Tribolium castaneum: one gene and its partners. The protein of the gene in region 2 binds, or shares a complex with, the protein of the main gene of each other region. Links are inferred from orthologs where the notes say so. Each region holds a gene or a part of one and is shown on either strand. Other genes may lie near its edges.

The links.
Region 1: transcriptional adapter 2-alpha (region 2) and NC2beta share a complex: the UniProt entries of both Homo sapiens proteins name them as parts of the ADA2A-containing complex. The link is inferred for Tribolium castaneum from reciprocal best matches to the Homo sapiens genes TADA2A and DR1.
Region 3: transcriptional adapter 2-alpha (region 2) and Nipped-A share a complex: the UniProt entries of both Homo sapiens proteins name them as parts of the PCAF complex. The link is inferred for Tribolium castaneum from reciprocal best matches to the Homo sapiens genes TADA2A and TRRAP.

Annotation. Positions count from the first base shown.
Region 1 is NC_087398.1:1,907,586-1,917,475, forward strand, and holds NC2beta (protein Dr1), read right to left. Parts: upstream 3,924-9,890; 5' UTR 3,805-3,923; coding exon 3,564-3,804; intron 3,517-3,563; coding exon 3,245-3,516; 3' UTR 3,222-3,244; downstream 1-3,221. Other genes in the region: uncharacterized protein LOC103313276, read right to left, coding at 1-132, 188-269, 746-875, 920-1,096, 1,142-1,184, 1,234-1,553, 1,601-1,769, 1,903-2,146 and 1 more. UniProt on the Homo sapiens protein: The association of the DR1/DRAP1 heterodimer with TBP results in a functional repression of both activated and basal transcription of class II genes.
Region 2 is NC_087398.1:11,840,156-11,851,938, reverse strand, and holds transcriptional adapter 2-alpha, read left to right. Parts: upstream 1-4,617; 5' UTR 4,618-4,698; coding exon 4,699-4,759; intron 4,760-4,802; coding exon 4,803-5,655; intron 5,656-8,126; coding exon 8,127-8,562; 3' UTR 8,563-8,590; downstream 8,591-11,783. Other genes in the region: rhodanese domain-containing protein CG4456, read right to left, coding at 3,857-4,288, 4,344-4,346. UniProt on the Homo sapiens protein: Component of the ATAC complex, a complex with histone acetyltransferase activity on histones H3 and H4. Required for the function of some acidic activation domains, which activate transcription from a distant site. Binds double-stranded DNA.
Region 3 is NC_087401.1:16,691,462-16,702,493, forward strand, and holds the start of Nipped-A (transcription-associated protein 1), read right to left. Parts: upstream 10,663-11,032; 5' UTR 10,535-10,662; intron 10,358-10,534; 5' UTR 10,325-10,357; coding exon 10,175-10,324; intron 10,125-10,174; coding exon 9,825-10,124; intron 9,773-9,824; coding exon 9,578-9,772; intron 7,227-9,577; coding exon 6,000-7,226; intron 5,949-5,999; coding exon 5,853-5,948; intron 4,131-5,852; coding exon 3,916-4,130; intron 3,870-3,915; coding exon 3,420-3,869; intron 3,374-3,419; coding exon 3,229-3,373; intron 3,153-3,228; coding exon 1,571-3,152; intron 1,457-1,570; coding exon 774-1,456; intron 693-773; coding exon 1-692. Other genes in the region: facilitated trehalose transporter Tret1, read right to left, coding at 10,935-11,032. UniProt on the Homo sapiens protein: Adapter protein, which is found in various multiprotein chromatin complexes with histone acetyltransferase activity (HAT), which gives a specific tag for epigenetic transcription activation.

The DNA of each region.
Region 1 (9,890 bases), about 9.9 Mb from region 2:
GTTACGTGGATTCGAGCCACGTCACAAGACTCCTCAAGTTTTGGCAGATATTGAGCGGCCGTCTCGGGTCTAAGGAGCGGCCAGTTTGGTTTTAAATTCTCAAAAAGTAAATCAGAGAAATTTTCCTCACAACTAAAACAATGGCACGCGAGTTTTATAAATATTTTTCTGAAAACGCAACACTCACAATTTTAAGGTCCAGTCGAAAGCATACGGGAACAGGCATTTTTCGGTTTTTCGCACCGTGCTTTGCAAAAATGAGGGCATTTCTAAAAACGTATTTTAAATTTAACTCGGTACATTTAAAGAACATTCAAATATTCAAAATTAATAGGAATCCCCTGTTTTTTCTTCAAGTATACGGGATGTTTTAGCAATCAGTTACAATTCAAGGCGAGTCTGTTGTTTTGCGAACATAATGTTTGCCAAAACGAGTGAGCGCAGCAAACAAGTTTTCCAAATTATACGATTAATAAAATTACGTACAATAAACTTTAAGCACTCACCTTGTAAATGTATTATTTATTAATTTTCTTTTAGTTTTTTTTATTGTTTTCAACAGTTTTGTCGAAAAATGTTTTCAAACTTCAAACCTTATTTTTTTTTTGTATACATACTACTTTTTTTCAATTTCATTTAAACACACATTTTTTTTGAGTTTTAAAATAATGTTACCTGATCTGGGGCTCCCGTAATTTATTTAAATATTTGAACACTTAATGGGAAACACCTGTGCTATACTTACTGTTGGATTCTTTGTCCACATAACTGGGGTCGCCATCAACTGTTACATTAATTTCATGAGCAAATTCAATGTGATAAATAATGTCTTCCAATTTGGACGAAATCAGCAAACATTGCTTGCAAACAAAACCCTGAAAAAAGTAATTAATTCAGGACGGAACAACACAAAACGTACTTCACTAAATTTTTCCGGACATTCGTTCAAATGACTCAAGGCATCTTCCATGCTTGTTGTAATACAATTACACTTGAATTTACATTCTATAAATTGTGTCTCGTCTAGCTCTTTCTGCATCAAGTCTTTTGCAAATTGTTGTGAACCTAGATCTAAATTTGCTGAAAAATACTGGTCCTGAAAGAAAAAATTAAAAACTTACACGTCTCTAAACCATTTCACCTTATTATCAACTTTCGTAACGTTTTCAATAATTCTCATTGCTCTGAAACAGTCAAATAATAAATAAATTCGGATTTTTACTGTAATTGTACTTTTTAGCCGCACTTCTTTTGGAAGGAAGCGGTTTTGCCGCGTTATTTGTCGTTTTTTCCGGAACCTCCTCCTTGTCCGGATTCTGGTGTATCATTTTCATGTGAGTTGTTAGACTCACTGGTAGCATTCTCCTCCCGCACAAGTCGCAAGAAATTTTAACAGATTCGAGCTGTTCTCCCGATTTTAAACATTGGGAGCGGTGAGATAAAAACCCAACTACTGATTTTTTTACTTCCCCGCATTTATCACAATATAAAGGTTTCTTTTTCTTGTACAACGAGTTGAGAGTGTGCATTACAAAAGATTGGTCGTTTAAGTCCTTAAACATTTCGTTAACTTTTAGTCACTAACATTTAGGTGACTCACTAAAGGTGGGTCTCCAACCCTCCACGCTAAATTATTATGATATCTCTGCTTATGGTGGGTCCATATATTTTTGTCAAATGTGCTGTTGCAAATTGCACACGTGACGTTGCCAGTGCCGTCATCCAAGTCTTCCTCTTTCATGTTATCTTTTCGTTGTCTCTTGCCTGACCTGTTATTAATTTTTATTTTTTTTTAAGTTTAATAAACGGAGTGATTTAATTAACAAAAAAAAATTCGAATTTTTGATAATTTTTTGAGTGATTTGAACCTTAAATTTTAATATTCCAGTCACAACCACCTACCTTTTACCACTGTTTGGTAAATTGTTACCATTGCTGGTATTATTTGTACTGTTATCATCACTAGTGTTTGCAAATAAACTGAACAGTTTATTCATCATTTTCACAGTCTCGCCTGTGTAATTGTATCTTTTGTCCTTAGAGTTCGGAGTGCTTGTGGTTGCCTCAAAATCTGTGGTAGAGTCCTCAAGAACCAAGTCTTGAAGCAAACTATCATCTTCTTTGCCATTCGTTGATTTAAATAAATCTAACGCATTTTTTATTACGCTGTGATAACTAATTTGAATAACTCACCCTTTTGCGGCTCATTATTACTTAAAACATTGTCTTCATCTTTCTGCTTCGCTGATTCTTTACTGTCAGCAGAAGTTTCGGAAAAATCTGGTTCTTGGTGCCTAACTTTTTTTTTCTTAATTTTTATTTCCCCGTTTCCGCTGGTACTAAAATAGTTGATTTCCGTTTGGACAGGTAGTGTATATTCCAGATTATCTGGATTAGCTAATTCGTAATAGTTCACTTTTTTACGTAGGCGTCCCCTTCTTGATACAGTTTCTTCCTTTGGACTTGTATCAATTTCCTCCTCAAACTGTCTCACAGTAATTTCTGATTTTCTTTTCCTTCCTCGTTTTTTGGGTGTTGGGGGCTTGGTTTCAGCGTTTTCATTTTTTTCAACACCAACTTCGCTACTCGACATCGTGCACTTTTTTCAAAGATTATTTATTGCTTATTTACTTTTTTTTCAACATTCTAAAATATCATGCTTGGGTAAGCGCACTATTTGCGATAATGATGAAAAAATCTGGAGAATTTACTTACACGAGTTCATTCACATAACCTCAATGTACGGCAGCTTTGCGCCTTTTTGTATCTCTAGTTTGCTTATCAAAAAAACTATTTTTGTATTAAATATAAAAATTGTTCTGCGGTTACGTGCTAAATGGAAATTAAATAACTTTTTTTCTATTAGAAAATGACATTATCTTGGGGATATTTCAATGAAAAAAGTGTTGCCAAGATCAAAACATGGCAAACATGTTACGTTGGCACTTAGTTGGCGCTTAGTTTTAAAGGTTTTTTTTCCATTTATTTAATAATTATTTTTATTACTTAATTATTTACAGGGACTACATTACCAAGACTGTAATAATGAGTGTTTTTCAGCGTTAGGAAATTGGTTATTTTATCCTGTTTAGACTTCGTACGCATAAGATTGCAGATGAATAATTTTCTTGTAAAAAACGTTGGGTCACTATTTATTGAATGTTTGTGGTTGATACAAAGCCTAAATCTAAGATATTAAAAAATAAATGAAAACAATAACAAAATATTTAAAGCGTTTAATAAATCATTCGTAATCATCATCATTGTTTGGTAGAGCCGAAGCTTGGGCTTGTGCCGCAGCTTGTAGTTGCTCCCATTGCTGTTGCTCCACAAAAGCCTGCTCTTGCCTAGCCTTGGCGAACAACTCCTGCTGTTGTCTCAACAACTCCTCTTCTGGTATTCCCAAATTTTCTAACCTTGTGCTCTGTCGCCTGCGTTTCGCTGCAACAGCCTTACAGTCCTTAAGAACAGCTTCAGCTTCGGTTTGATAATCTCCAAAACCCAACTTTTCTAAAGCTGCGAAAAACTTTACTTTTGTGTTGTTTAACAATGATGAAACATACCCATCAAAACGTGTTCCGCATTTATAGTCTTTTTGTCCAATCGATTACATATTTCGTTCGCTTCAGAACTAAGCAAATGGATAAATTCCGTACAACAGTTGAGGATTAATTCCCTTGCTTCATTTGCAACTCGAACTGATGGGACTAACTCCTTTATCATTTTGTTAATGCTAGCCCGAGGCAAAGTCAGCTCATCGTCTTCGGTATTTGTTAAACCACCAGCATTATTTTGATTAGACATTGTAAATTGTTATATTTATCAACAAAAAAGAGATATTTAACCTCAAATAGGGACAGCTGGAACAATTTGACATGTCAAGGATAATGCTGTTAGAGTCCGCGAAATGACAGATCGTCATTTGTGTGAAGACAGCTCCCAAAACCAGCTCCTCGAATTTCCGAAGAGACCCGAACATGAAGCCAGTTTCAGACTAGCAAAATAAGTTTCAGTTTGCTTAGATGTATGTTTGGTTGTCAGCTTTGAAACCGTTTAATAAAATAAAAATCCGAAAAAACACTAAACACCCTCTTAAAAATGACATTTTAAGAAAGTCACTATGCTAATAGCGAAAAACTCAATTATTTACCACAAATTGCTTTTTAATTTTTCCCACTTTTTCACCTAATTTCAATATTTATGGCTCCGCAAATGCATTATTGTAGTTTTCGCCCCATTTCACCCCGAAATCGGTTTTGTCACACAATGCCCTTTTGACCACTAATTCAACAATAAAAAAGACGTTTTTTAAAAATAAAATTATGGCCTTTTAGTTGTCGGAACAATGTTAAAAATTGTTATGTTGCCCAGCTCCGCAAATGCACTGTTGCAGTTTTCGCCCCATTTCACCCCGAAATCGGTTTTGTCACACAATGCCCTTTTGACCACCAATTCAACAATAAAAAAGACGTTTTTTAAAAATAAAATTATGGCCTTTTAGTTGTCGGAACAATGTTAAAAATTGTTATGTTTTCCAGCTCCGCAAATGCACTATTGCAGTTTTCGCCCCATTTCACCCCGAAATCGGTTTTGTCACATAATGCCCTTTTGACCACCAATTCAACAATAAAAAAGACGTTTTTTAAAAATAAAATTATGGCCTTTTAGTTGTCGGAACAATGTTAAAAATTGTTATGTTTTCCAGCTCCGCAAATGCATTATTGCAGTTTTCGCCCCATTTCACCCCGAAATCGGTTTTGTCACATAATGCCCTTTTGACCACCAATTCAACAATAAAAAAGACGTTTTTTAAAAATAAAATTATGGCCTTTTAGTTGTCGGAACAATGTTAAAAATTGTTATGTTTTCCAGCTCCGCAAATGCATTATTGCAGTTTTCGCCCCATTTCACCCCGAAATCGGTTTTGTCACACAATGCCCTTTTGACCACCAATTCAACAATAAAAAAGACGTTTTTTAAAAATAAAATTATGGCCTTTTAGTTGTCGGAACAATGTTAAAAATTGTTATGTTTTCCAGCTCCGCAAATGCACTATTGCAGTTTTCGCCCCATTTCACCCCGAAATCGGTTTTGTCACACAATGCCCTTTTGACCACCAATTCAACAATAAAAAAGACGTTTTTTAAAAATAAAATTATGGCCTTTTAGTTGTCGGAACAATGTTAAAAATTGTTATGTTTTCCAGCTCCGCAAATGCACTATTGCAGTTTTCGCCCCATTTCACCCCGAAATCGGTTTTGTCACATAATGCCCTTTTGACCACCAATTCAACAATAAAAAAGACGTTTTTTAAAAATAAAATTATGGCCTTTTAGTTGTCGGAACAATGTTAAAAATTGTTATGTTTTCCAGCTCCGCAAATGCATTATTGCAGTTTTCGCCCCATTTCACCCCGAAATCGGTTTTGTCACATAATGCCCTTTTGACCACCAATTCAACAATAAAAAAGACGTTTTTTAAAAATAAAATTATGGCCTTTTAGTTGTCGGAACAATGTTAAAAATTGTTATGTTTTCCAGCTCCGCAAATGCATTATTGCAGTTTTCGCCCCATTTCACCCCGAAATCGGTTTTGTCACACAATGCCCTTTTGACCACCAATTCAACAATAAAAAAGACGTTTTTTAAAAATAAAATTATGGCTTTTTAGTTGTCGGAACAATGTTAAAAAAATTTATCTTGTCCAGCTCCGCAAATGCACTGTTGCAGTTTTCGCCCCATTTCACCCCGAAATCGGTTTTGTCACACAATGCCCTTTTGACCACCAATTCAACAATAAAAAAGACGTTTTTTAAAAATAAAATTATGGCCTTTTAGTTGTCGGAACAATGTTAAAAATTGTTATGTTTTCCAGCTCCGCAAATGCATTATTGCAGTTTTCGCCCCATTTCACCCCGAAATCGGTTTTGTCACACAATGCCCTTTTATATTTTTTGTGCATAATAAATGACCCAATTTTGATTTTGTACAGACACAGTTAATTTCTTTCTCTTTATTGTTTTTAATTTTAGTGTCCAAGAGGCCGTTAATACTAAGAAATTGTCTTTTTTGTGTTTTCTACAAACTGTGAATATTAGCCCTTATTTAGTTACTTATTTGTAATATTTATAATATTCATCCAACAATTACGTCTTTCTTAAAAGAAAAATTTAAAGCAATTATAATCCAAGTAAAACTATATTTTTTAAGTATTGTCGACTACAACACAAAATTTACTATCCAATTAAATAAAGTAACAAATCAAGTAACAAACTTATATTGCACATTTCCTTTCAAATTTAAACATAAATACAGAATGTTTTACACAACGCCTTCTTTCAAAACAAAAATAGTGTAGTAATTAGTAAACCTTACCTTCTAAGATTATGCAACCTTCATAAACCTTATCTGTGAAATTATGACGGTTTTTGTAAAAGTGTTAAGACTCATGCGCCCTTTCAATAAAACATAAAAGACTGGCTGTCTCTGCCGACCAGGTAAGATCTTAGGACAGAAAACAACTGTGCTTAGATTTTTTGCAGAAAACTTTTTTCGAATCTTACAAGCGGAATAGCGAATATCAAAAAAACATAATCATAATTAAATATAAAGTTATAATGTGCGGGTAAAAATTTGTTCGAATAAATTCGGGTTTCTTTTCAATAGATATCAGTTACCACAAGATATACAAACACAATAGACTAATTATATCTTAGAGGATAAGGACTACTAAATACTATTTCTGAATAACGAAATTATAGCTTTAACAACAAATTTAAAAATTTGCACCAAATTTAAGACGATTAAACTTCGAGAATCTTGGAGAACTTGAAGTTGTCGAATTACTGACTATCGGTTGAGTTGATTCGGAGTGGAACATAAATACTGTAAAACAAAAAGATTGTATTTATAATTGGAAATTTATTGAGTTTATTTCAACATACGAGTACCTTGTATTCGTGATAACCACTTTTGTTTTTTCTCATTTTTCGTGGTAAACCTTTAGAGCCTGGCTGTCGATTGAGTTAATCCGAAGTGGAACATAAATACTGTAAAACAAAAAGATTGTATTTATAATTGGAAATTTATTGAGTTTATTTCAACATACAAGTACCTTGTATACGTGATAACCACTTTTGTTTTTTCTCATTTTTCGTGGTAAACCTTTAGAGCCTGGCTGTCGATTGAGTTAATCCGAAGTGGAACATAAATACTGTAAAACAAAAAGATTGTATTTATAATTGGAAATTTATTGAGTTTATTTCAACATACGAATACCTTGTATTCGTGATAACCACTTTTGTTTTTTCTCATTTTTCGTGGTAAACCTTTAGAGCCTGGCTGTCGATTGAATTAATCCGAAGTGGAACATAAATGCTGTAAAACAAAAACATTATATTTATAATTGGAAGTTTATTGCGTTTATTTCAACATACCTTGTATTCGTTACAACCATCTTTGTTACATGTTAAACCATTACAGACATCAAGGATCAAAGAAACATCTTTTTAATATTAGAATTTAGAGTTTTTTCATAATTCTCAAAATTATGCACTTTATCATCCGGTCCAAAAAACACCCAGAACACTTTTCAGTGTAGCGAACACCGAAAAAGTAGTTCAGTGCTGATAACACCCAGAAAATATTTCAGTGCTGATAACACCCAGAAAATATTTCAGTGCTGATACCTACTCGTACAATACTAATAGAGCTATTTATCGAAAAAAATATCTAATAATATAAAGTACTGATCATATAAACGGGAATATTACACTAAAAATGTGTAGTAAATGTGTAACAGACAATCAATGTCATGTCCTATTTGTTCAAAGTCACATAATTTGTAGAGTTGCCCCGATTTTTTAAAGATAATTGCGCGAAAGCGATACGAGATGATAAAAGCTTTGAACTGGTGGACTAATTGCTTAAACCAAAATCATTTGTATAAAATATGTAAACGTATCGAGCTGTAAACATTGCATAAAACAGGATCATACTCTCCTGCACTTTGATAATACTTCAGTAGACAATACCCATGAAATTAATGAATAGAATGCTGCATCCACTAAAAATATTCTGTCAGTGTAATTTGGTTTTCAGCTGAAATGTGTTGTTATCCACTGCGGAAGTTCAAGTACCATCTAGGTACATTGTATCAGAATGGCACAAACTACGTAAATTTGTATTACAAGAAAACAAAATAACTTGTTTTTAGATGTTCACACCTTTAATAAATTTTTTTTGATAAAGTTGTCTTTTTCGTCTTTTTTTTCTGTGATGTCCGAAAAGGGGTGATCAGGTAATAATCCGTTTTGACCTGATAAGATGCAGTGCCGAATTTCTAGGACTCGAACACGTAAAGAGAGGGTGCCCGGTATTTGGGGATTCAATAGTGCCCAATTTATGCACGCCTGTTATCATAACTCGCCTGTTTTGGTGATAATATTGTCCGATTTTGGGAAATAGAAAATAAAGATGCAATAAATGATAATTTACTGAACACCCTTCACAGAATTCTTGTGAAAAACATTTTAACAAAACACATGGGAGATTCCCAGATGGGCGGTTTATGGTTTATGGTTTATGGTCCTTTTAAGCAAACGCCGCCTGATGCCCAAAATAGCTTTAAACCGTTTGTTGTCGGTGGAGAAAAGGAGAGCTAGGGATCATAAACTAAATGAGGGGTACGTACATTTCGTTCATGAAAAATTATTTAAAATTGGGACATATGGAACTCGTAGTAAACGATTCTACCGAAAATTCTTTTCACTTATCACACAGTTGTGTAATTATAATTAATGAAAACAGTGATAGTACCAAGTTGATTGTAGTCTGACTGACTGTTCATGTAAAGCTCTAATAAATTGAGTATAAATGATAATCTGTTAGCAGGCCCGGTAATTCAGCCTGATTTATTTCCGATTTTAATTCAATTTCGGATATATTTTTTTAAGTATCGTTGCATATGGGTCCATCCTGACGATCGCTATCAACTATCAAAAAATTCTGTGAAATAAAAAATTGGGCGAAAACTGCAATAATGCATTTGCGGAGCTGGACAAGATAAATTTTTTTAACATTGTTCCGACAACTAAAAAGCCATAATTTTATTTTTAAAAAACGTCTTTTTTATTGTTGAATTGGTGGTCAAAAGGGCATTGTGTGACAAAACCGATTTCGGGGTGAAATGGGGCGAAAACTGCAATAATGCATTTGCGGAGCTGGAAAACATAACAATTTTTAACATTGTTCCGACAACTAAAAGGCCATAATTTTATTTTTAAAAAACGTCTTTTTTATTGTTGAATTGGTGGTCAAAAGGGCATTGTGTGACAAAACCGATTTTGGGGTGAAATGGGGCGAAAACTGCAACAGTGCATTTGCGGAGCTGGGCAACATAACAATTTTTAACATTGTTCCGACAACTAAAAGGCCATAATTTTATTTTTAAAAAACGTCTTTTTTATTGTTGAATTAGTGGTCAAAAGGGCATTGTGTGACAAAACCGATTTCGGGGTGAAATGGGGCGAAAACTGCAATAATGCATTTGCGGAGCTGGAAAACATAACAATTTTTAACATTGTTCCGACAACTAAAAGGCCATAATTTTATTTTTAAAAAACGTCTTTTTTATTGTTGAATTGGTGGTCAAAAGGGCATTGTGTGACAAAACCGATTTCGGGGTGAAATGGGGCGAAAACTGCAACAGTGCATTTGCGGAGCTGGACAAGATAAATTTTTTTAACATTGTTCCGACAACTAAAAAGCCATAATTTTATTTTTAAAAAACGTCTTTTTTATTGTTGAATTAGTGGTCAAAAGGGCATTGTGTGACAAAACCGATTTCGGGGTGAAATGGGGCGAAAACTGCAATAGTGCATTTGCGGAGCT
Region 2 (11,783 bases):
TAAACTGGTACTAAGATCTTGAGATATGAAGTCAGGACTTTTTAACAGAAAACTTAATCACAATACGTAATCATTTCGCCAGTTTCATCTGTAAATCTTTACACTTACACGCTTACTAAAAAATTGGCGCAGTCAGTAGGATTCGCAAAATTACTGCAAAATTTGTACGTTTTTAAGAAATAATATTTGATTATCGTATTTAGTTAGACGATAATATTTAATTAGAATACATTTTTTCACTCAGTTTGCACTAGTTTATCAAACACAAACAAAAACCCGCATAAATTGGTACTAAGATCTTGGGATATGAATTCAGGACTTCGATGAAAATTATACAGTATTCAAAGAATTTTCATTCATTTTTTTATTCACTTCTCCGTTCCAGAAGCTCTCTTATTTGAAGTGTGTTTACTGAAGTAGTCTACAAGATCGAATTAGTTCAGAATTTAATGGCGTTTTTATTTTATTTTTCCCCAGACACAGCTAAAGATTCTGACTATTTCTTCAATACGTTTTTTAATTCATGTTTTTCCGTATGTAAATTATATTATTGGAAAACGAAACAGAGAAAACCTGACATTAGTTTTTATCGAATAGAGACACAAATGAACTTTACTGTAATTGTTATTAATTTTCCTGTGCACTTGACAATTTACTAATCGAATAATTTGCTCATCAAAGACCTTGGGTAATGAATTTATAATGTTTTAATGGTTTTGTCGCTAAAAAACGCAATTGCTAGACTGGAGTGAGAAGTAGTGAGAACAATGCACATTTGGTAGATTATCTCCTAAATGGAAATTAATAAAAAACTGTTTAAATAATTACAATTCGTATTTTTCCGATTGTCTCACTCATCCAAGACCTTCAACTGTAACCGAATATTTAGCATAAACTTTCGTTCTTCAATCTCCTCACGCACGAGAAAGCAAACTCCTTATCGAACCCATTTGAATAATAGGACACGTCCGTGTCCATTGCCGTTCCCTCGAACATCCCCCCGATAACATTCGAGCACCTGTTGTGCTGTTTGATAACAACACGTAGTGTAAATAAGTGATAAATTCGATTGAACGGTCGGGATTAGGATTGGACCGTCCAAGGCAAGCAAGAGTCGGCACTTGGAGGCCGAGGGGTTTACCTACCTGGAGGAAGCACCAGGACTCCCGCCGCATCACTCAACTCGCACTCACCGATAACGAAACAGCGGAAATTAGCAAAGTTGGGAGCGTGATTGTTACACGATGGAGGCAACATGTGATATGAAATGGTTTTTGGCGCGCCGGTCAAGTCCAATTAAACTTTGCGATGATGCACGACGGAGTCCCTGCCTCAAGGTGGACGTCTCGGGGATTCATTCATTTAAATAAAAGCGATAATGCGAGGTCGCAAACTCTCAATTGAGATAACAGCGGTTTTATCACCTTTTCTACTCATTAAAGTAAATTAATTCGAAGTTATTGCGATTATATTCTATTCAAATCGGTCTAAACATTCCTGTGTACTAAAAATAAGCGGCCTTCGCGTACCTAAATTATAATTGCTTATTAAATAAACTAACCGTCAAATCCAGCAGCGGACTGAGATTTTTGGTACTTTAATAAAGTGCGTTTTTTATATCGCTGAACATTCAATTATTTTACAACGAAACGACCAGTCTAGTCTTAATCTGTTAACACAATGCTGCAATTCAGTGGAAGTCAAGAAATAATCAATTTTGGCTTCGCTCGTATTTCGAAAACGCTACAAATAAAAAATGTAAGAAACAAAGTTGTAAAGAATTTAGTTTCATTCAAAAAATTTAAGAATCCAACTTGAGGCAGTTTATAAACACCAAAAAGTTTCTAAATCGCTGTTTGCTGGCGTAGTTTTCATTCGTAAAGTTGGCATTTTTTATTTTTTTGCAGTTTTCTGATTAATTTTGAATATTTTATTTTATTATACATTACAGCAAAAGATCCTCTGTAAAAATTTTAGAGACGAAATCAGTAAAATAACAGAAACATGGACAAATACCTACCGATAAGAATTTTGTAAAGTTTTTGTTTAGTTTAAAAACATTGTGATGTATATGTTGATATCGACTGCATATTTTCTGCACATTTTATGATTTTACTCAAAAAGGTACATTTTACAAAAAAAATTACAAGGGATAGAAAACTTTCTGAATGGTATGAGTTTTAAGTAAAACAAAAGTCATATTAATTTGTGCTGCAAAGTTATGAAGCAATTTTTGGCAAGGGGGCTCTCGTAGCCCGATTTAACAATGTTCTACAACCTTACAATTTGCACTATTAAATGATTATCTATAATAACGACTGTATACCAAATTTTATAAAAATTGGATAAGCAATTTTAAAGATAAAAACTATAATCTGTACTTCTGGGGTAACTTTTGCCCCCATAATTATGGAATTATTAGCCTAAATAATTCCATAATAAAACTTTTTAGAAGGACATACTACATTGTTACTTCTTTGACCAGAACATTTGGCGTCTTAAAAGTCAAGGTTGAATCTCACAAATCTAGCGGCTTTCTCAAAAGTAAACAATGAAAAAAGGCCCAAAACCCTGCAAAAAGCAAAGCCAAAAAAATTGGGCACATGAAAAAAACAGGGTAGTGCCCTACAAATTTAGTGTTTTCCCAATAATAAACATCCGAAAAAGAAAATTTTGATAATAATGCGTTCAAAGGAAAGAAATACATCCAAAACCCATTATTTTTGGCAATACTTCAACGAAAACGTAATTTTTTTTATCGAAATAAATCAACAAAATTTGAGGCACTTGAGGTGAGTTGTTGCCAATTTTACCAATAATTTTTTTATTTATAGGGAAGTATTAAAAAAAAGACGTTTAAAAAAAACAAGGTTTATTTATTGACTGCTTTCAAATTTAAACCAAGAGGAAAACAACCATTCACGGTATTCCCACTGAATTGTGAATGAGTCCAAAAATTCAAGTGATTGGTTTCTAACTTCATTATAATGGCTGACCATAAATTGACCAATCATATCCAAAACCACAATTTTCAATGAATCAAAAAATCCAAACTGATTGGTTTTTCTCCGTAATTTTAATGGCCGACCTCAAACGGCCCAATCAAAATGCTTACACATTTTACAACAGTCACTACGTGCCCTACGTTAATTCACAAAATGATGATTAATGAGTCTGTCTTTGTTTTTGTTGCATCTCACATCTTCAGTTTTTCTCTGAATTCTACCCCCCTAGGTAATGTTGGGCACAAAAATTGGGACAATGAGAGGAAATAAATAAGAAATATTGAATTGAAACGCTTTTATATTAATCAAAAAGATTCAACCAGTGAATTCTTGAATGACATGTTAAAAATCAAAGCGCATGCGCGCGCACTTTTTCAATTTGACAATTAACATTTAAAAAATCCAACAAAGAAGACGAAAAGTTCGAGGAAACTGTCCCACGTTATTAAAAGTACGGAAGGGGGTCATGGAGTAGGTAAATGTTGTTTTCAAAACGGCGCTGATGTTTTTTTGCAATAAGTGTTTGTGTCCACATTGGCGCTGGATGCTCCTAACATCAACAAATGAAGAAATCGTATCTAATATCCACTTCAGGGCAAAACACATGCAAAATTATTATTTGGTTTTGCTTTTGTGAGTATTTTTGACTTATGGTGATCAGGCCTTTCAAAAGGTGTTATCATTCAAAAAATTTTTGACGAGATTTGTAGATTGCAAACTCTTTTTGACTTATTTTTTAACATTCCATGTTTATCACTTTTGTGCCGCAGTAAATAAGTAAATACGGCACTACCTAAATCCAAATCAAACTACAACCCCTACACTCATATAACGTATTATTTATTTACAACTCAAATATTTTTACTTTTTTCCTCCCACTCTAGCCACCCCCCGGAATAATTCTTTATATCTTTGAACCCCAACTTCGTCGCAATCTCGGACGCAAGGGCACTACGTTTCCCCGAACGACACGAAAAAATTAAGGGGGTGCTAGAATCAGGTTTAGCCTTTTTGTAAGTTTTTTGAAATTGTTCAGAAGGCATGTCTTTTAACACTTTCTCGACTTCGCCAAGTGGAATATTGATGCTGTCAGGAATAACTCCGGTTTCCTGCAATTCGTGGGGCTCCCTGACATCGATTAGAAGAGTCTTAGGAGTCGTTTTTACTGACTTGACTTCATCAAATGAGGCGATTTGCGTTGCGAAAAGTCTAAGAAAGACGGGCGTTTTGTTCACAAGGGAGAGGATTTGGGGCCCCCTTGATAGCGACATTGGTAACCTAACCTAAAAAATAATTATGTAATTAACTTAATTGATTAGTTTTTGTAAAGTGAACTACCATAGCGCCAATAAAGCGATTTTTACTATTTTTTATCGCCTGTTTTATTAAATTACGACAGTTTTGGCAAAAATCAGTTTGGAGACTTTTTACAGTCACCGTTGGTATCACACAATTCACACAAAACAAATTAGAGGTCCCGTGGCTACAATCAAATTTTCCCCAATTATTTTTTTTTTCACGTTTTATGCCGATTGCGTTCGAATTACATAATAATTTCATAAATAATCGTCAAAAAACACCGCACTAGTAAAGTGCTAGTGCTTTAAATTTTGCCAGGTAGGCAGCGCTTGCCGCTCACATAACCTATGCACATAACCTAAGTTTTTGTGGTATCCAAACAGTTTTCGAAAAAATGGCAAACGCAAACACCGACTTAACCGAAGAAGACGCCGCTGACTTGCAGTTTCCCAAAGGTGAGCCCCCTTGTTTACTTCTCGTTCTCAACTGAGGTTTCAGACTGTGGCCCCCCTGCGTTTTACTCTAGTGACTCTGATAGTGTTTGTTCGAATTGTTCGTGCGATTTGGTCGCGCCTTACATTTATTGCGCTTTGTGTAAAGTGAATATTTGTTCGCTGTGTTTTTCGAAAGGTGCGGAGTTTGGGGGGCACAAGAACGATCACGATTATCACATAATCCGCGACGATTTTCCGGTTTGGGGTAACACGGACTGGACGGCTCGGGAGGAGGTGGTGTTGTTAGAGTCGTTACAAAAATACGGGAACTGGAATTTAGTGGCGAAAGAGTTCCCAAATCGGAGTGTGAGGGAGATTAGGGCGCACTACGATTGGTTTTATTTAGACAGAAAGGGGTCCAAAGACTTGCCCGAGGCGAGCAAAAGGGACTGGTTTTGTGAGCCGGTGGTGCCCTACAGACAGCGGATTAGCGACACCGATGAGCCCCCTCGCTACTCCCCCAACACAGTGGGGTACAAGTCTTTGGCCGGTTATAACCCCGCGAGGTCCGATTTCGAATGCGAGTTCGATTCGTCGGCTGAGGATCTGCTCTCGAACCTTAAACCGGTTGATAAGGACGATCCTCATTTTGACTTGATCACAAATCTTCAATGTGCGATCATTCAGAGTTATAACCGGCGGTTGAGGGAGCGCCAAAGGTGGAAAAAAATCATAAGAGAACACGGATTGATTATTCTGCGGAAAGTTTACGCTTGGCTTCATCGGTATGACGTTACGATTACACGTCCTGTGTATGAAAAACTGATCCGATTTATGCAATTTTGTACTCCTGTCCAGTTCGAAATGTTGATGGAGGGGTTACACCACAGCGGCGAACTCAAAATACAAATTCTTAGGTTCATATCAAACGGTTGAATTAATATAAAGTTGGTTATTTTCCATAATAGCGGCTTATTGAGTTCCAAAAAAACACGACGGAGAAAAAAATGTTCACTAAAGATTAATAAAAACAAAGAAAAATGTTAAAACATACTTCAACAGTTAGTGGCGTGACGAAAAATAATACAATTTGTATTTTGGAAAAAAAAACACTTGTAAAATTCGATGAAAAATTCTCAAACTCTTCAATATTCACGGAATTTTACAAAACATTGTGTTCAACTCGTAAGTTTTTTCCAGAAAGAATTCACTTTTTCTATCTCGTTGCACAAATAGCTATTTACAATGGAACCGTTTTGGTTTAAAAAAATCTCGCGAAAAAAGTTATATCACTCGCTAAATGCAGAATTAACATTTTTTTCAAACAAATCGGCGCTTCAACACTCGAAAAAGCAAATATAATGCTAATTTCGTTCTAATCGCAATTTTTTTGGCTTCTTTTTGAGCAAATGTTGCGAAATAAATGTGTTTTTATGGATGAACGTGGTAATAAATCTCATAAATAGTAAAATATTGTCATCTTCGAGCAGATTTTTTAAGCAAGTTTAGCAAAATTTCAGTAAAAATTGCGTTTTACCTTAAAAAAACGAGCTTTAAAATATGATAGTTAAGAATATAATTACATATATATTTAATTATTTTATTTATTTATATAATATATAATTGTTATTATTATTTATATTTTATTATATTAAATATAATTAAAAATATAATATAATAATAACAATTTGGTGATTACGTTTTTTGAAGAAATGCTAAACTTTCGAAAAAGGCAGAGTAATTAAATTAAATTTCTCGTTCAAAAAAGGAACTTAATTGAGCAAAGTAAACTAAAATAACCCCAATTTAGATTTAATTCTGTGAATTTCTAGCTAGAGAATTTTTAAACACTTTAATTTTTACCTTAAAACATGTATAAAGGCTCACAAAAAGCTGCAACATAGCATTAATTTTGGTCTTTAAAAATCTTCGGCTTGCAAAAGCAAAAGTTTTGACTTAATTTTGTGATTTTTTTGAGTAACATCTTTTTTTGATTGATTGACAAAACTCCTCATTTTTTGGCCAAGAAAAACGATCGACTTTTGTGTTATCTCCTCCTGGTTTATGCTTTTATGTCATTTTTAAACACAATTTAAAAAAAAATGCTAAAACACGTGAAATTGCAAAGTAATGTTTTTTGGCGAAATATCACAAAATAAGAATTTTCTAATTATGTTGTAATATTTTAGACGTGTTTTGGCAAGATTATCCAAACTAAATAAGTAGTAAATTTACCAATCCAAAGTAAACAACAACAATTTCGATTTAATTTGTGGATTTTCAGTTAGTTTTTGCAATTTTTTTTATTTTAAAACATGCCCAAAGATACGAAAACGACAACATTAACACAATTTTTGGTGTAATTGTAAGGTTAATAAAAATATATGAAAGAGAATTTTTAGCTAAAAACGAACTAAAAGGCTTTGAAGAATTTTTGACAGACAAAATTCTTCAAATAGCTGTAGCCTGACGAACAAGAAAAACGTTTGACTTAGTTTTGTGATATTATTGGTATTTCGTTCTAACAAAATCTTGCAAAAACGAAGTTACTTTACACATATTTCGGCAATTTTTTGAGAAATTTTTGCAAAGCTCGCAAAATAAATATTCTTTTATCTGGTTGAAAACCTTGGTTAAACATGAGACATAGCAAATAGTGCTACATTCGATCCAGTTCTCAATTTTGAAGAATTTTTTAAAATAAATAACTTTCTGGGAGAAAAACGTAGTAAAAAATTTAAAAAACAGGATAATAACATCGTTTTCGACTGAATTATGTGTTTTTTCAAGCACGTTTTCCTTCAGGAAAATTGCATTTTTTACCTCAAATTTATTTTCAACTGAAATACAAAAATTTAGCTATAAGTAATTTAGTGTTTTAATGACCACGGTTTTTGAAGAAATACTAAAACGAGACAAAAAATAATGAATTTCGATTTTTTTACGATCAAAATCTTGCGAACTAAATAAATCTCTAGTTCAAAAAGTGTAAAGACTATAATTTTACATTTAAAACATGCTTAAACAACTGGAAAGTCAACTATAACATCATTTAAAAAACGAGCTAAAGAAATTAAACAAGTAAACAAACAAAATAATATATTTTCGTTTTATGTTTACGACTTTTAAGTATGTTTTGACGAGATCTTGCCAAGCAAATAAATCTTTAAAAACGAACTAAACCAAGCAAAACAAGCTAAAATAACAAATTCGCTCTGATTTGGTATTTTTGTATGCGCAAACTTTTTAGGTCACTAATCAGTTAATTACCAAAGTGATTGCATGGTATGGATTCCATATCTATATGGGACATTGATTTTTTTGGAAAACATCAATAAGTCGCTTTTATGGAGATAAAAGCGCCCAATTTTATAGGGGGGTTTTGCAGATTGTGTGAATTACGTCAACGCGGAATAACGTCACTCGCCGACGCCCGACTTTACGTTAAATTGAAAGAAATTCACGACAAGTGCGAAAACGAACTGAAGACGCTCCACGCCAGCGCGCAGTTTAACTGGAAGTTGACCAACCGGAGCTTTCCGGTGGAAACTCCGAAGAAAAAATCCGGGTTTACTCCGATTGAAATCATCGGCATGCCCGGTTACGAAAAACTGACTCCTTCTGAGAGGGAGTTGTGCCGTACTGTACGACTGGTACCCATCACTTATCTCGAGCTCAAAGACATTCTTATAACTGAAAACAAGAAGATGGGTTCTATTAAACTCAAAACGGCGAGAAAAATACTCAAAATTGATGTGAATAAGACTAGGCGTTTGTACGATTTTTTAGTACAGGAGGGTTACATTGTCAAACCTGTGTCTTAGTTTTCTCAAATATACTTTCGGTTGTGAATGTTTGGTTTTATTTCTTCTTTACAGAGTTTGAGAATGCGGAAACTTTGCTCATTTCGGAAGTCCACATGTTGTTGGAGCACAGGAAGGCGCAGAACGAGTCGGCGGAAGATGAGCAAGAGTTTTCCGATGTTTTCATGAAGACTCTTACTTACACGGATAGGTTTAGGAAATTTAAAAATAAGGAAACGATCTCAGCCGTCAGAAAGTAATTTTTTCATTAAATTTTGGGTTTTTTATGTTTAATTGTTTGATAGTTTGTTGATGCAGAAAAAGTTGCACAAGTTCGAATTAGCAGCCATTGCTAATCTGTGTCCTGAAACCACTGAAGAGGCAAAGTCTTTGATTCCCAGCTTGGAAGGACGATTCGAAGACGAGGAGTTGCAAGCCGTCTTGGACGACATCCAAACTAAACGCAGTATACAATACTAGAAGTTTTTATAGTTGTAGAAAAAATACAGTTTGTAATTTGGGAGCATTTTTTTACTACAGGAGGCATAATTTCGTCATAATATGTATTTATATTGGGTTTTAATAAAAATTTGCTAATTTTTTGTGTTGTTTTTTTACCAAAAAAAACTACAAGATTTTTTTATGGGTGTATTATTTCTTCTTTTGTTTAAATTCGGAGAACTATTTAAACAAAAGACGAAAAAAAAGTAATACCGCAGAGTAAAAATGAGAGCGCGTTGAGCATCTCGGTGCAAAATTGTTTTAAATTATTTTAATTCAACCAGTTTTTAAACGTTTAGAACTTTTTTAGTCACGTCTTCAGATCAAAAAGTTTTTCTTCAAGATTTTATGAAACTAGAACGAAAAAAAATCACCAAATTTGATCAAAAATTTACCTTTAATCACAGGATTACGTCACAAATAACATTATTTTTTCAAGTTCTGAGGATTTGAACACGTTTTTGGACTAAAAATCAAGTTTTTCTTCTTGTTTTTATAAAACTAGAATGAAAAAAACCCAGATTTTGTCAAAAATGAGCAAAAATATACTTTTTCTAAGTGGTTATTTAGCAAAATCTCAATTATTTCGCAAAATTTATTAAAGAGTAAGTCAGTAATTCACAGGATTATGTCAAAAATGACATTGTTTTGCAAGTTCTGAAGATTTAAACACATTTTTAGATCAAACATTCATTCATTTTTTTTCCTGTTTTTATTAAACTGGAACCAAAAATTTACCTTTTGTAATCGTTCACTTAGCAAAAACTCAATTATTTCGCAAAATTTCTTAAACAGTAAGCCAAGAACTGACAGGATTATGTTAAAAATGGCATTATTTTTTAAAGTTCTGGGGATTTAAACACGTTTTTAGACCAAAAATCAGTTTTTTTTTTCTCCATTTTTATTAGACAAGAAAATTTTGTAGAACTTTGTAAAAGTGAAATAACCTAAAAAATTAAATAATTCTAGCTTTTTTTGGCTACTACTTGTACAAATGCTTTAACTATTAAAAGAAAAATATTGGAGGAATAAAGGTTTGACAATTTTTTAGGATTCGTTCAGTTTCTGACATTATTTAAAAAAAAGTATTATCTTCAAAGCAAAAATCAAAAAATGATTAATTCATTTTTATTAATCTTCCGGATTTTTATGTAAAAATTATAACACCAGAGCCTTATTAATTATTTTACATTATAAATATTTAATGCCGAAAAAAAGCTATTTAAATATGTCCAATTTTGTCGATTTTTTGAATTATTTTTGATGAAATGCGATAAGAAGGTCCTAAGTTTTTGACGAAAAATGATTTTTAAATTTAATAAAATTGTTTGCTTAAAAACTGCCTTTTTCATCTGAAAAACTCTAACAATTTAAGAATTGTTCTGTTACCAAACATTTTTTTAATAGTTATAAAAAATACAGTATTTAATTTGGGAGTAAATTTTGCGTTTTAATGAAAAACTGCTAATTCTTTGTGTTGTTTTTTTAATAAAAAACTCCAAGGATTTTTTTATTTGAATAATTGCTGAATATTTGCAAGATCCTCATTTGCCACAAAATACGTTTGCAAAATACGCATAATATTGTCGTTAGCTTGAAAAAAATGTGTAAAATTTCCAATTTCAAAAAAAACTTCTGCAGTGATTCCAAAAAAATTTCTTCGAAATTCTAGTAAATTCGTATTCCTTCATTCCAACTTATTTGTTTTATTTCTTTCTAAATTATTTTAGAAAAGAAGAAATTCAACGTAATTTTCATTCCAAGTAATCGTATAATAATGGTATATATTTTTTTAGCTATGGTTATACAATATGTATGTTCAGTATATAGCGTGTGTTATTTTCGATAACACTGGTTTGCAAAATTTTACTATTTGTCTGTTGCCGCTAATTTAAGAGTTGAATCCTAAGTTGATTCTTTCTACTTTTGAGCGTAAATTTCAAATTTGCCATCATCACGAGTTTCTAGTGATAATATGAGTTACAACTTATATTTCAAAAAAATAAAGCAGATGGGAAAAATCTGTTGGCAGTTGTGAAATCAGTGTTCAACAAGTACTCAACAACAGCAAAAAATATGAAGCAACAGTCAGTCAGTCAGTAAATATGCATTTTCAGTAATCAGCATCCAGTAATCATTCAGCAATAGCAAAAAAATCATCTGACACAAAAATATTCTGTAAACTTAAGTAATTCCATAATTAATAATTCTAAAAAGACACCAGTAATTAAAAAAAAGAACTTACATATGACACCAGGAGTTCAAAAAAAATTCTAGCAATTTCTAGTATACACAGTAATTCGAGATAATAAATTCTAATTCTTGCTATAATTCCAATTTAATTCTCGCAATTCTAATTTAATTTTGCTAATTCCAAAACGATTCCTGTAATTCCGTTGATCAGTTCCAACAGTTCTAAGATATTAAACGTAGTTATAAGCACTTCGGATAAAACCAAAGGAACTCCTCCAGTAATTCACAATGATAACATTAATACGCAAACAATAATTTTAAAAAGTCAAGTCCAAGTTCTTCCGAAAAAGATTTCCAAAAATTTGTACAACTAACCTACTGACTGCGCCAATTACATAAGTTTGTAAAAAATTTTACTCAAAGTAGTGATATTTTAACCAACTTAGATTTAAACAAAAAACCTAATTTTGTGTTTTTTTTTCATAAAAAGAAAAATGTGGGTGGAATGTTATGTCTTTTTTAGCATTCTTTGCCTCTCAACTATTCTA
Region 3 (11,032 bases), on a different chromosome or scaffold from region 2:
TGTTGCATGGAATGTCCTTCATCCACGATTATTTTCTTGGTCCAGTGCGTCAACATCGTGTTACCCTCCTCCATACGGAGGGGCATCGAAGGCGTCAGGATTTCCAACGCCTGCCTGACGACATTGCGCGCTTCAAGCGCGTGCGCTTTCAACAAACTGTGAAACACCTGAAGGATTATCTTCCGGTGGATGGCAAACTTATCAATGATGTGGGACAGTAGTAGGTGGCCGTGGTAACGTGTCGCTGGGTCGAAACAATTCTCAACCAGCAAACACGGCCACGCGAACGTCATCAAACGACGCAGTTTCGAACTTTGCGTCTTATTATGGTCGTGGATGTGTGGACTCGCTTGTTCAACGAGCAGACACGAGAATTGTAACAGCGCGATTCGGACACAGTCGGCTGTGGGGAAGGGATTATCAGGATCGATGAGTTTGTTGATAAAAACGGACACCACGTTATCGGGACTGTCCTGGTAGGGCATGGGGGGACCCCCGACTAGTTTGTTCGTTTCGCCCTTTTCGAAACTGACGGCGAAACAAGGGATCAGAATAAATTGTAACACTTTTGATTTCAGTTCTTGGGACATAGAGTTAGTCGGGAAAAGCTTAACGAAGCGGAAAAACGCCGAGCGTTTCCATTCAACAGTATAGTTTTGGGCGACTGTATTGGCGAGGAAGTCTTTCAAAAACTGGAAAAAAAATTACGGTTTTAAGCCGTGGTCATTAATACTTTTATAATAACAATTCAGTAGTTAAATGATTATGCTTACCTGAAACTCGGGTATGAAGCGGTGGCACAAACACCTCAACAGTTGGAACAACAAATCAACGTTATTCGGATGGTAGCAGAAATAATGCAAGAGAATCTTGACCAAAAGTTTGGGTTCCTTCCAATGAGGATACTCCAAGTTATCGACACTTTTATGCCGCTCCTGATACGCATCATCACACCAAATCTGTTTCAACGCCTCCACCAACTCCTGTTGTTCGGACAACCACTGATCGTCACTTTTTATCAACAAGGATATAATCCTAATACTCTGATATTGCAATTCGTTACGTTCCTGCTCACTCAGAGTGTAATTAACGTGGACGTTGGCCAGCGCCATCTGAATCAATCTCTTAACCATACTGGTTTGTATATAGTCACGAAAACTCTTCCCCTCCTTATGCTTAATCAAAAACTCAAGATACCGACTAAACTGTTTATCCTTAACGTAGGTATCATCGAGGAACATATCGAGCGTATCACCGGGATAACGCAACAAAAACTTCATTAGAACCTCCCGGAAGGGAGAGCTGGCCTCGATCAGCATGGCCTGCTCCGTTTGGAGAATAAGTTGGCACAACTGATTTATAAACTTCGAGGAGGCGGCCGGCGTTTGGTGAAATATCCCGATGATTGTGACGATTTTTTGCTCCTCGTCGCCTTTCTTCGACACACCGGTGGACACTACATAATTAATTGATTTCAAAATAATGCACGCCCCACGTTGGGCGCCACTCTATAACCATTGTACAAAGTGGCGCCCAACGTGGGGCCAGTCACCAAATGATCACCACTCACCTTTGTGGCTATTTGTCAAGTTTTCGAGTAGTTGTTTGAGCAATTCCAACAGTTGCTCACACAAACTCTCGTTGAAATTCAACGGGAATAGTTGTGTCAAATATGATAGCATTTTGACGCCGTTAAGGGTCAGATTTTTGGCATCGCCTAGCGTGAGTAGGAAGGGTTTAATGGTTTGGTAGACCAAGTCCTTGTTGACTTGATATCCAGCGATGAAATCACGCATACATTCGAATGCGGTTTGTTGTAGCTCGGCGTTGGGCTTTTCGAGGGCTTTGTACAACACTTGGAAAATTTGCTCGCGCACTTCTTCGAGGTAATGACAGGCGGCGAGGACGCGCAATGCTGATTTCCTCAACGGTATGAAATTGGTGATGTTTTTGTAGCAACTGAACGTGTTCAGTTTGACGTCTTCGCTGTTACACAGTGAGAGGAGGTCGAGGATGAACAAGTTGTGTTCTTTGATTGATAGATCGATTGTGAACAGTCGGGGGTTCAAGGTGGTACAGAACTGGTTGCCGTCCATTAAGCCCATCTGGGCAATGGCCGGTTGGTGTTTGAGTAGATGTTTGGTAGGTGGTACCATATCTGCTAGCACTTCTTTGAACGGTTCCATGACCGAAGTGACCGATTTGTTTTGTTTTTCGGCCAAGAGACGCAACGAGTGCATCGATTGTTCCCTCACCATAGTATGGGGACTGGTGACTTGACGCACCAATTCATGTGTGACCTCATGCAGCGCCTTCTTTTGCAAGTCACGCGTTTCCTGATCGGCACCTTTCGGTGGTTCCGTCACACAAACATTCAACATCTTCTCCAGATTATTCTTGGCCATATCGAGGGCGCCACTGGACACCTCACCCGTCAAATCCATCATAACGAACAGTAACGCTTTCAAGAACGTAAACATGTGTTCATAAACCCACTTACGGGCACACCGTTCGAACATAAAACTGATAGCTATACAGCCGCCTAATTTTGCATACCATGCTCTTTCGTAGCAAAGGGCACACATTTTTTCGGATAAATACTCAATCAAGGGTAAACGACAGGCCATTTCCTTGCTTCCGAGCAGTGTAGAGGCCGTATCGAGGATTAAAACAAGGCCTACGTGACCCGGCTTACACAACTCCTTCTCCTCATGTCCCATAATCACTGCCAGAGCATCAACCAACACAAGTGGGTCAAGTGCCACTTGTTCGTTATGTTTCGGCGTGCAAGCGAACGCGCCCGATTGTTGCGCCACCGCCACCATGGTGTAATGACGGACGACAGCAACCATCAAAGCAACAACTGGTTGCCGCAATTCTTTAATAGCTGCAGCAACAAACATTCCGGTGAGAGCGGTCTGATGTGTCTCACGTGCTTGTTTATAAATGCTCTTATAGACCGAACCCTTAACTTGAGGTATAGTTTTAGGGTCTTGGAACGTCGAGTGAAGAAACAGATTAATTAGCGTATTTTTATCATCAGATAGATTACGAGACGCAGTTAGGTAATAATTGATAACTTCCCACGCTTGTTTGCGGTAGAACGAATCAGTGTTGCTCTGTTTAAGTGCATTAAACGCAGTCTCGATTATCTGAAAGTACCAAAAAATGGGTTATTTTGTGGCGCACAACGTGGGGCCAAGTGGCGCCCAACGTGGGGCCACTCACCTTTTGCACCGGAAACTCAATCGTCTTATCCTGATCATAAAACTTGGCAATGATCGCTGGTGGGTCGTAATCGGACGACACATAGTCCAGTTTTTGCGGTTCAATCATCATTTTCCGATTCCCACCTCCAAACTTACCCAAAACTCTACAAACGCCAATTAGACCACCCCAAATGTTAAACACCGACTTACTTAAAGGCCACTTGCGCCACCTGGTCATTGTTACGCAAAGTCCGCCACAAGGCCTGCATCAAGTCGGCCCTGACCGGTTGGATATGTTCGTACAAGAAATCATGTTGTAAGTTATCGACGCACAATTCCAACGTGCGCAAGCCTTGACTTATCAAAATGTGTGAACCGTTCAAAGCCGACACTAACGGATCCATCAGCATAGGTAGGTAGGGTAAGAGTGAGCTTAACCGAACCGGAACGGTTAGACACAACTCAACGAAGAGATCCTTCATGTGTTGTTTGTGCAAACCGCTCTGTAGCCGGTTTAAACCTTCGAGAAGATTGGGCAAGAGCGGGAGGAACTCCTGGTAGAGTAAATCGTGGCTTCCGCCTCCGATTGAGCGGAAAAGTGCGCGCAAAAGGAGGAAGTAATTGTACGGTTCTTTGGCACTCATTGCCAACTCCATTGATCTAAGATAGTTTGGTTAATTGACGCACTCGCTACGCTCGCACTCACCTATTGACGATTTGGTGCAAATGTGGACGCAGCATGTTCTCGTTTTCTTGTGGAAATAACGAAACGCTACCAAACACTAATTTGAAGAGTTTCAAATAGAGATTGCTACGTTCGAGATTTGAACCCATCTCTTCCATTCGTTCTAGTAAATATTCGACCAAAACGGTCGCGAAAATTGGGCTTGTGGCCGGGTTTGCAAGCAAAGTGTTCGGAACCTACAAGGTTTTTTTAAATAGTTATTATGCCACTTCTTGTTTCAATGCATATTATAATACAATTAACTGCCTTTTTTTAGTGTCTTCTTATTTTTAAATCTAGTATAAATCCTATGTTACATAGGAAACAACTATGAAAACAACTTGTAAAATGAAAAATTTAATAAAATAAATTTAAGAGCAGAACTTTAAACATTTCTTCTTCACACACAAATATTTACTCTATTTCCATAAAAAAAGCATGGACAAAATTTACTCTGTGATTATATGCAGTAATTTTTAAGCAACGATAGTCAATATTATGAAATATCGGAAGGCAAGTCAGGTTCTTATCTTGGTTTTAGGATAAAATTGCATAGATATTAACGTAAAAAAAATTCAACGGGCAAAATTCTTGTTAAGTAACTCATATGTACTTATTTATTTATTTTATTTTATTTTCTTTTTTATTCTCCACCTTATAATTTCTATCCGTTCAGCATCTGCTTATCAAGTCACTTGTGTATTTACACATTTTTTTATCATTACATCATTCCTTATATCATCGCCTTCTTAGTTTATTTACATTATCAAATTATTATTTTTTACTTATTTTGCCTGGATTTTATATTTCTATTGAGATTGATATTACATATCCGATGACTTATTTCAATATATTTTTGATACCTAATTATATTTTCTTTTACTTATTAAAATATTCGTCTTTTTAGTAGTACGATTGTCTCACAATCACATTTTTTGTAGTCTTTCGAATTCGGAGTTTAATTTTGTTTCTTAATTTTCCCTTAGACTTTTCTAGTTTTTATTTATCAAGGTTTCTGTTACCCAATTTTCCAAGTGGAAAAAAGTGTTTTATCCATAAGACTTTGTTCCTTTGCCTTTCTAATTCTAAATATGTATTTTTATCCATATTTGTTCACATTTTCTTAGTCGATGTATGTATTTTTTCATTTAGTTTAAGTAGTTTTCCCTTTGATTTCATAATTTTGATTACAATTCTTCATTTAGTTCTTGTTTTTTTTGTTAGACTTTAAATATGCAATTCTACTTTTTTTAATTTCCATGATGCTTGATTATTTTTATCCATATTTGTTCACATTTTCTTGGTCGATGTATGTATTTTTTCATTTAGTTTAAGTAGTTTTCCCTTTGATTTCATAATTTTGATTACAATTCTTCATTTAGTTCTTATTTTTTTTGTTAGACTTTAAATATGCAATTCTACTATTTTATATCCATGATGCTTGATTATTTCTATCCATATTTGTTCACATTTTCTTGCTCGATTTATGTATTTTTTCATTTAGTTTAAGTAGTTTTCTCTTTGATTTCATAATTTTGATTACAATTCTTCATTTCGTTCTTGGTTTTTTTGTTAGACTTTAAATATGCAATTCTACTTTTTTAATTTCCATGATACTTGATTTAGTTTTCCATTCTTTAGTTTTCTTATACTCCATTATTTGTTTTGTTTATTCAGACTTTCTTCAGTTTTGTTCCATCAGTTTATAATTTCTGCTTTTCCAATTTTTTATTATCACAGTTGTACATATTACATAAAAACGTATTTCCATAAATACCTTCAGCAAAAATAATAGCCTTACTGAAATAAAGAATTGCAAAAAAAATGAGTATAGTAACATCATAGCTGAAAATTTGGTGATCGCAAATAAAAAAATCAATAGAAAACAGAACAAAAGTTTGATAGATTAATTTACTTACCGTTTGCAAAGTCGGATTCTTGTAAACCCTCTCGACCAAATACTCAATAGTCGTTGAAAAAATCTCGTGAAACGTTTGCGGATTCATCATCGAAAACTAAAACCGAAAAAATTAACCCAAAAAAAGCAAACTTACCAATCAAGTTACCACTCCACTGAAATGTTCCAAAACCACCTTCTCCTCCTTATTCCTTTCATTTTGTTGGTTAATCCTTTGGGGACCTGTCACTTGAGGTCCCGGATACAACGTATAGATATCTAACGCTTTCAAAGCCCACTTAACCAATCTGACAAAAACCAGCGTTTCATGCGGTTGAAAATGTTTCGTTGCCACCAAACTATGACTCGAACTCGACTTACACGCCGAACAGCCCCACGTTATAGTTTTAACCCCACACACTAAAGTCTTAACAAGACTATGATAATCAGCAACGTTGTAATTATTATTTTGCGGAAAACCAAATTTCGACTTTTCCTCCTTTTGTTCGGCGCGATTTTGCGTCGTCGCGAGCGCATTTTCCAGAACTTCCGCCGGATTTGCAGCGCCATCTTCAGTCTTAATCTCGACTTGTGTTTTTTGTTGTTGTTGTTTGCACTTTGCCGTTAAAATCGGAAGTTGTATTTTAGCTATTGTTTTAAATTTGACGACAAAAACTTCAAGCATGCGCATTAGCAACTCGCGACCTTCGGTGCTATTCTCGGCCTCCGAACGTGCCCGAATACAGTCGACGAGATTCAAGAGTAGTTTACACGACATGGTTTGTATAGTCGTTGCCAACGTGTCATCATGTACGTTTTTGCTGAACAAATGAACAGCGCGTGTTAAATCGCTGAGTGGCAGTTGTTGGCGCACGTGATGCACCAGATCGGCCAATGTGGAGTAGGCGAGTGGGCGGAGCGACTCATGCGTCGTCCAACCGCGGCCAAGGAGGACGTCCTCATCGAAGAGCTTCTCCATGTGGGGGACGAATCGATTTCGGAGATCGGTTGCTAGGATATGGCGAGCGGCAATGAGTAACTCGCGTCTGAGATGAGCCACTTCCATTGGACATAGCATGAGGAGTCCTAGCATGCCTTGGACCATCATGGCGGAATGGCTTTGGACGTGTTCGAGGTAGAATTTGATGATGTAGGCGAGGAATGATAGAGTTTTCACTTGAGCGCCCATAAAATCAACGAAGATTTCTTTGTTGAAAGTTGGGGCTTGGCGTTGTTCGGGACTGGGTTGGAGGGTGATTGTTTTCATGATTAGAGGGATAAAGTCACTGACGTCCTGATGGACGCTTTGTTTGTACAGTTGGTACATGAGGACAACGATTATTGGGAGTTCCTGAAGGACTTTGAGGGAGAGGACGGCTTTAGGGATTAAGTAATACTGAAAAAATATATACCGGTGAATGGATACTATAAAACCAGTGAGAAAATTGAGAAAAAAGTCATAATAAGTTGACGTTTAAGCAAAAATCGCTTAAAAACTAAACAAATTTTCTACCACGGCACATAGTCAATTATTACTGAAGGCAAAAAAAAGATGTTTTAGGACATTATTTTCTTCGAACAGAACTTATGAACAAATCATTATGTTATTTCAGACAATTTAATTCGTCAAAAAACTATTTTTTTTGGTTTTTTTTTTTTTAATTATTCAACTTGTTTTGACCTGACTTGACCAAAGAAACTCAAAAAAATCGCCAAATTTGATTAAAATTTTATTTCTGCCCATTTAGCGCGTGAAAAAATACAAGATATCTTGGATGTTTAATTGCTTATCTTATTTTGGCCTCCTTAAAAAATATAATAAATAAAAAATATAAAAATGAAATAAAATAAAAAATAGATCACCGAAAAAAGTCGAAAATACGCCGAAAATGTGGTCCAAGTATGATATTTTAACTATTTTAAAAAAGATTATTAATTAAATGTTCACACTTTTTGGCAATTTTAAATAAAAGAAAAAACAATATAGAAAAAGACAAAGTAAAAAAAACGTCAACAATTAATAAGTAACTTAATGTTATACACAAATAGTGCAATTCAATCTAAAAATACTAATTTACAATCGTAAGAAGCACTGTTTGGTTAATAAAAAAATCTTTAGATAAGTCAAAGTTTCTCAAAATAATTGCCTTTAAAATACGAAAACACACTTATTAAAAAAATTACCGAAAAAAATTAAAAACATTGGACTAAATTATATAATTTCAAGCTTTCAGCTAGTAAAGAAACTAATTTTGATGTGATTAATTAATTTTTTCACTATCCACTTTTTGTCTGTTTATTTGAATAAAAATGTCAATATAATTTAAAAAAGTATCTATAAGAACACGTAATAAAATAACAAAAAGAATTACGTTCATTTACTCGTTTTCGTTTACATTATTCGCAAACTATCCAGATTTCAACTAATTCTAAGTTCTAAATACAGAAACTCACTGATTAAAAAAAACACCAAAAAAAAATCAAAAAAATTGCCAAAATTAGTCTCAATTATGTTATTTCTGTCCATTTAACGTGTCATTCATTATTTTTTTAATTATTTACCTTATCTTGGCCTCTTTAAAAAAGATATAAATAAAAAATACAAAAATAAAATAAAATAACAAAAAAATACATCAACATTTTTTATGTTTCATTGACTTGTACTATAAAATTAAATGATTTTAATCAATCCTGAGTGAGTTATTTAGCTCAATATTACATCGGAAACTCAGTTATTGAAAAAAAAATCACCGAAAAAAGTCAAAATTCGCCAAAAAATTGTTCTAATAAAATATGTTACTTTAATTATTTTAAATGTAAAACTAATTGGTTTTTGTTAATTGTTCACACTTTTTGGCCCTTTTAAACAAAAGAAAAAGACCAAGTCTAACTTAATGTTATATACAAGTTTTTAGCTCATAAAAACCAATTTCATACAAATTATGTAATTTTCTGTATTGTTTTTGTAATTTTTTTTTTTTTTTAGAATAGCCTTTACCATAAAATTCAATAAAATTCTACACAGTCAAGAGAAACATTTTTTTCTGTCGAAAAATCTTAGTTTTAATCTCAAAATGTACTTAAACACTCAAAAACGCACCAAAAAATTAAAAAAACTACCTAATTTGTGGCCTTGTGGCTTAAATTCCACGATATCTCGTTCAAAACAAAAAACGAAAAACTCAAAAATACTCAAGAAATGTCAAAATTTGAAATTTTTCGAATCATTTTTTGACGAAATTTAAATAAAAATCGGCGAAATAATAACATTTACGAACCAAATTAATGAAATTTCAAACCGATTCAGTAAAATTGCGTCTCAATCTCAAAAAAATGCCTTAACATCCAAAAAAAATTACTACATTTCCAACTATAATTGCCCAAAAAAAAACATATTCAACATAAATTTGTAGTTTTCTGGCCGAATTTAACAAAATCTCGCTAAAATCTATGTTTAAACTTTTAAAACAGTGATTTTAATAGATTAAAACAAGTAAAAAAAACACAAAATAAACGTAATTTTGGGAATTTAGACGATTTTATTAACAAAAATTCGTTAAAAATCAACTTCTTTAAACGAGACAAATGCTATAATAAGGTGCATTTAGGTATTTCCAGACGATATAGCTCCTTTTTAAAAGAGAAAAATTGTTTCAAATTCTTTAATACATAAATGTTAGCACATAATCGGCGTTTTTTTTAAGAATTTGTAAATTTTTATTGCAGCAAAAAATAAATTAAACATACCGTGACTAAAGTGTCATCTTTATTCTTCTTCTCAGTTTGTATGGTCGTCATTGTGAACGTCTCCTTAAGTAACTCCTCAATGTTCAACTCATTTAAATTATTGACTTTAATTGGCGCCCTAGGTTCAAAAATCTTGTCCATATGATTGGGCAAATCCGAATAAATTGACTTAACAAATTGGAGAAAATGTTGTATCTACAAAAACCACTTAAATCTCAAACAAAATTAATTAAAAAAAAAAAATCACTTCTGGATTAAACGCCGGCCGATACTGCTTATGCAACTCGATGATAATCTTCAAACAGATCAAAACATTCTCCTCATTATCAATCTCCAAAAGGCGCAACATGAGCGACAAAATCGACTTAACATAAGGTCTCAGAAGATCATTCGTTGGCAGTCTGTACAACATCTCCAGAATTAATTTACGCACTTGCTGTATGTTATACTCGGCGATAAAATGCGGATCGCCCTCTTGTAGTATTTTCAGGAAGATTTTCACAGAGTGGTCCAAAAAACTCTGATAGAGAGACGACGAAAGAATGATCTGAAAGCCCACTTTCAGGGACATTTTTTCACGGTTTTGACCGCAAATACCTCGAAATTTTTGCTAATTTCCTGCGTGGCTTTCAGTTTCAGGACGTCCTTACAGTTGGCGTCCCCCAACATCGTGACGTAGCTCCTGAACTGGTTCATTTGAGTCGTATGGGGGTCGATGCCCGCCATGGTCGAAGAACTTGACTGCATTTGGGGCCCACTTCACTTTTTACATCTTAAAACCTTAAACGTAAAGCCGGGGCTCAAAATTTGCCGAAAAAACGAGCAAAAAACGTTCAAATTTGAGAAGTGAATGAACAACATAACCTCCAAAAAAAAACAATCAGATAACCGACTTAAAGTTGACGCATTTCATTCGTGTAAAAAACGTATCGCTTAATTGGGCCAAAATCTACTAACTTTTTCGAAAATTGCACGTTTTTCTAACACTGGAACACTTTTTTCCGTGTTTTAAACATATTCACGATGAATGAATGGGAAGTGGCTACGGTTAACTAGGTGAAGAAGTGGCTAGAGTTGCGCCATGTTGTTTGGAATTATCAATTTCTGGCCTTTTTGCCGAAAAATCGGAACACAAAAACTAGCACAATTTGTAAAAAAAACGAGCAATTTAATTGTGCTTGTATTGTGGCTTAAAAACCAGATATTTGTGGCTAATTGTGGTAGGCAACCAATCAAACACAGTCGAAAAATAAATAATTTTATTCATCAATTAAATACAAAAATAGTTGTTTGTACAATCAATCACCGTCGGTTCTATAAGAACTAAGTTTTTTCCAACTAGTTGAAAGTAATTACGTCATGTCTGTATCTGCACCGTGTAAATCCCCTCGTTTTTTATCACTTCCGGGCAAAACCCTTGGTTATCAAACCCATCCAAAACCTTCTTGCGTTTGA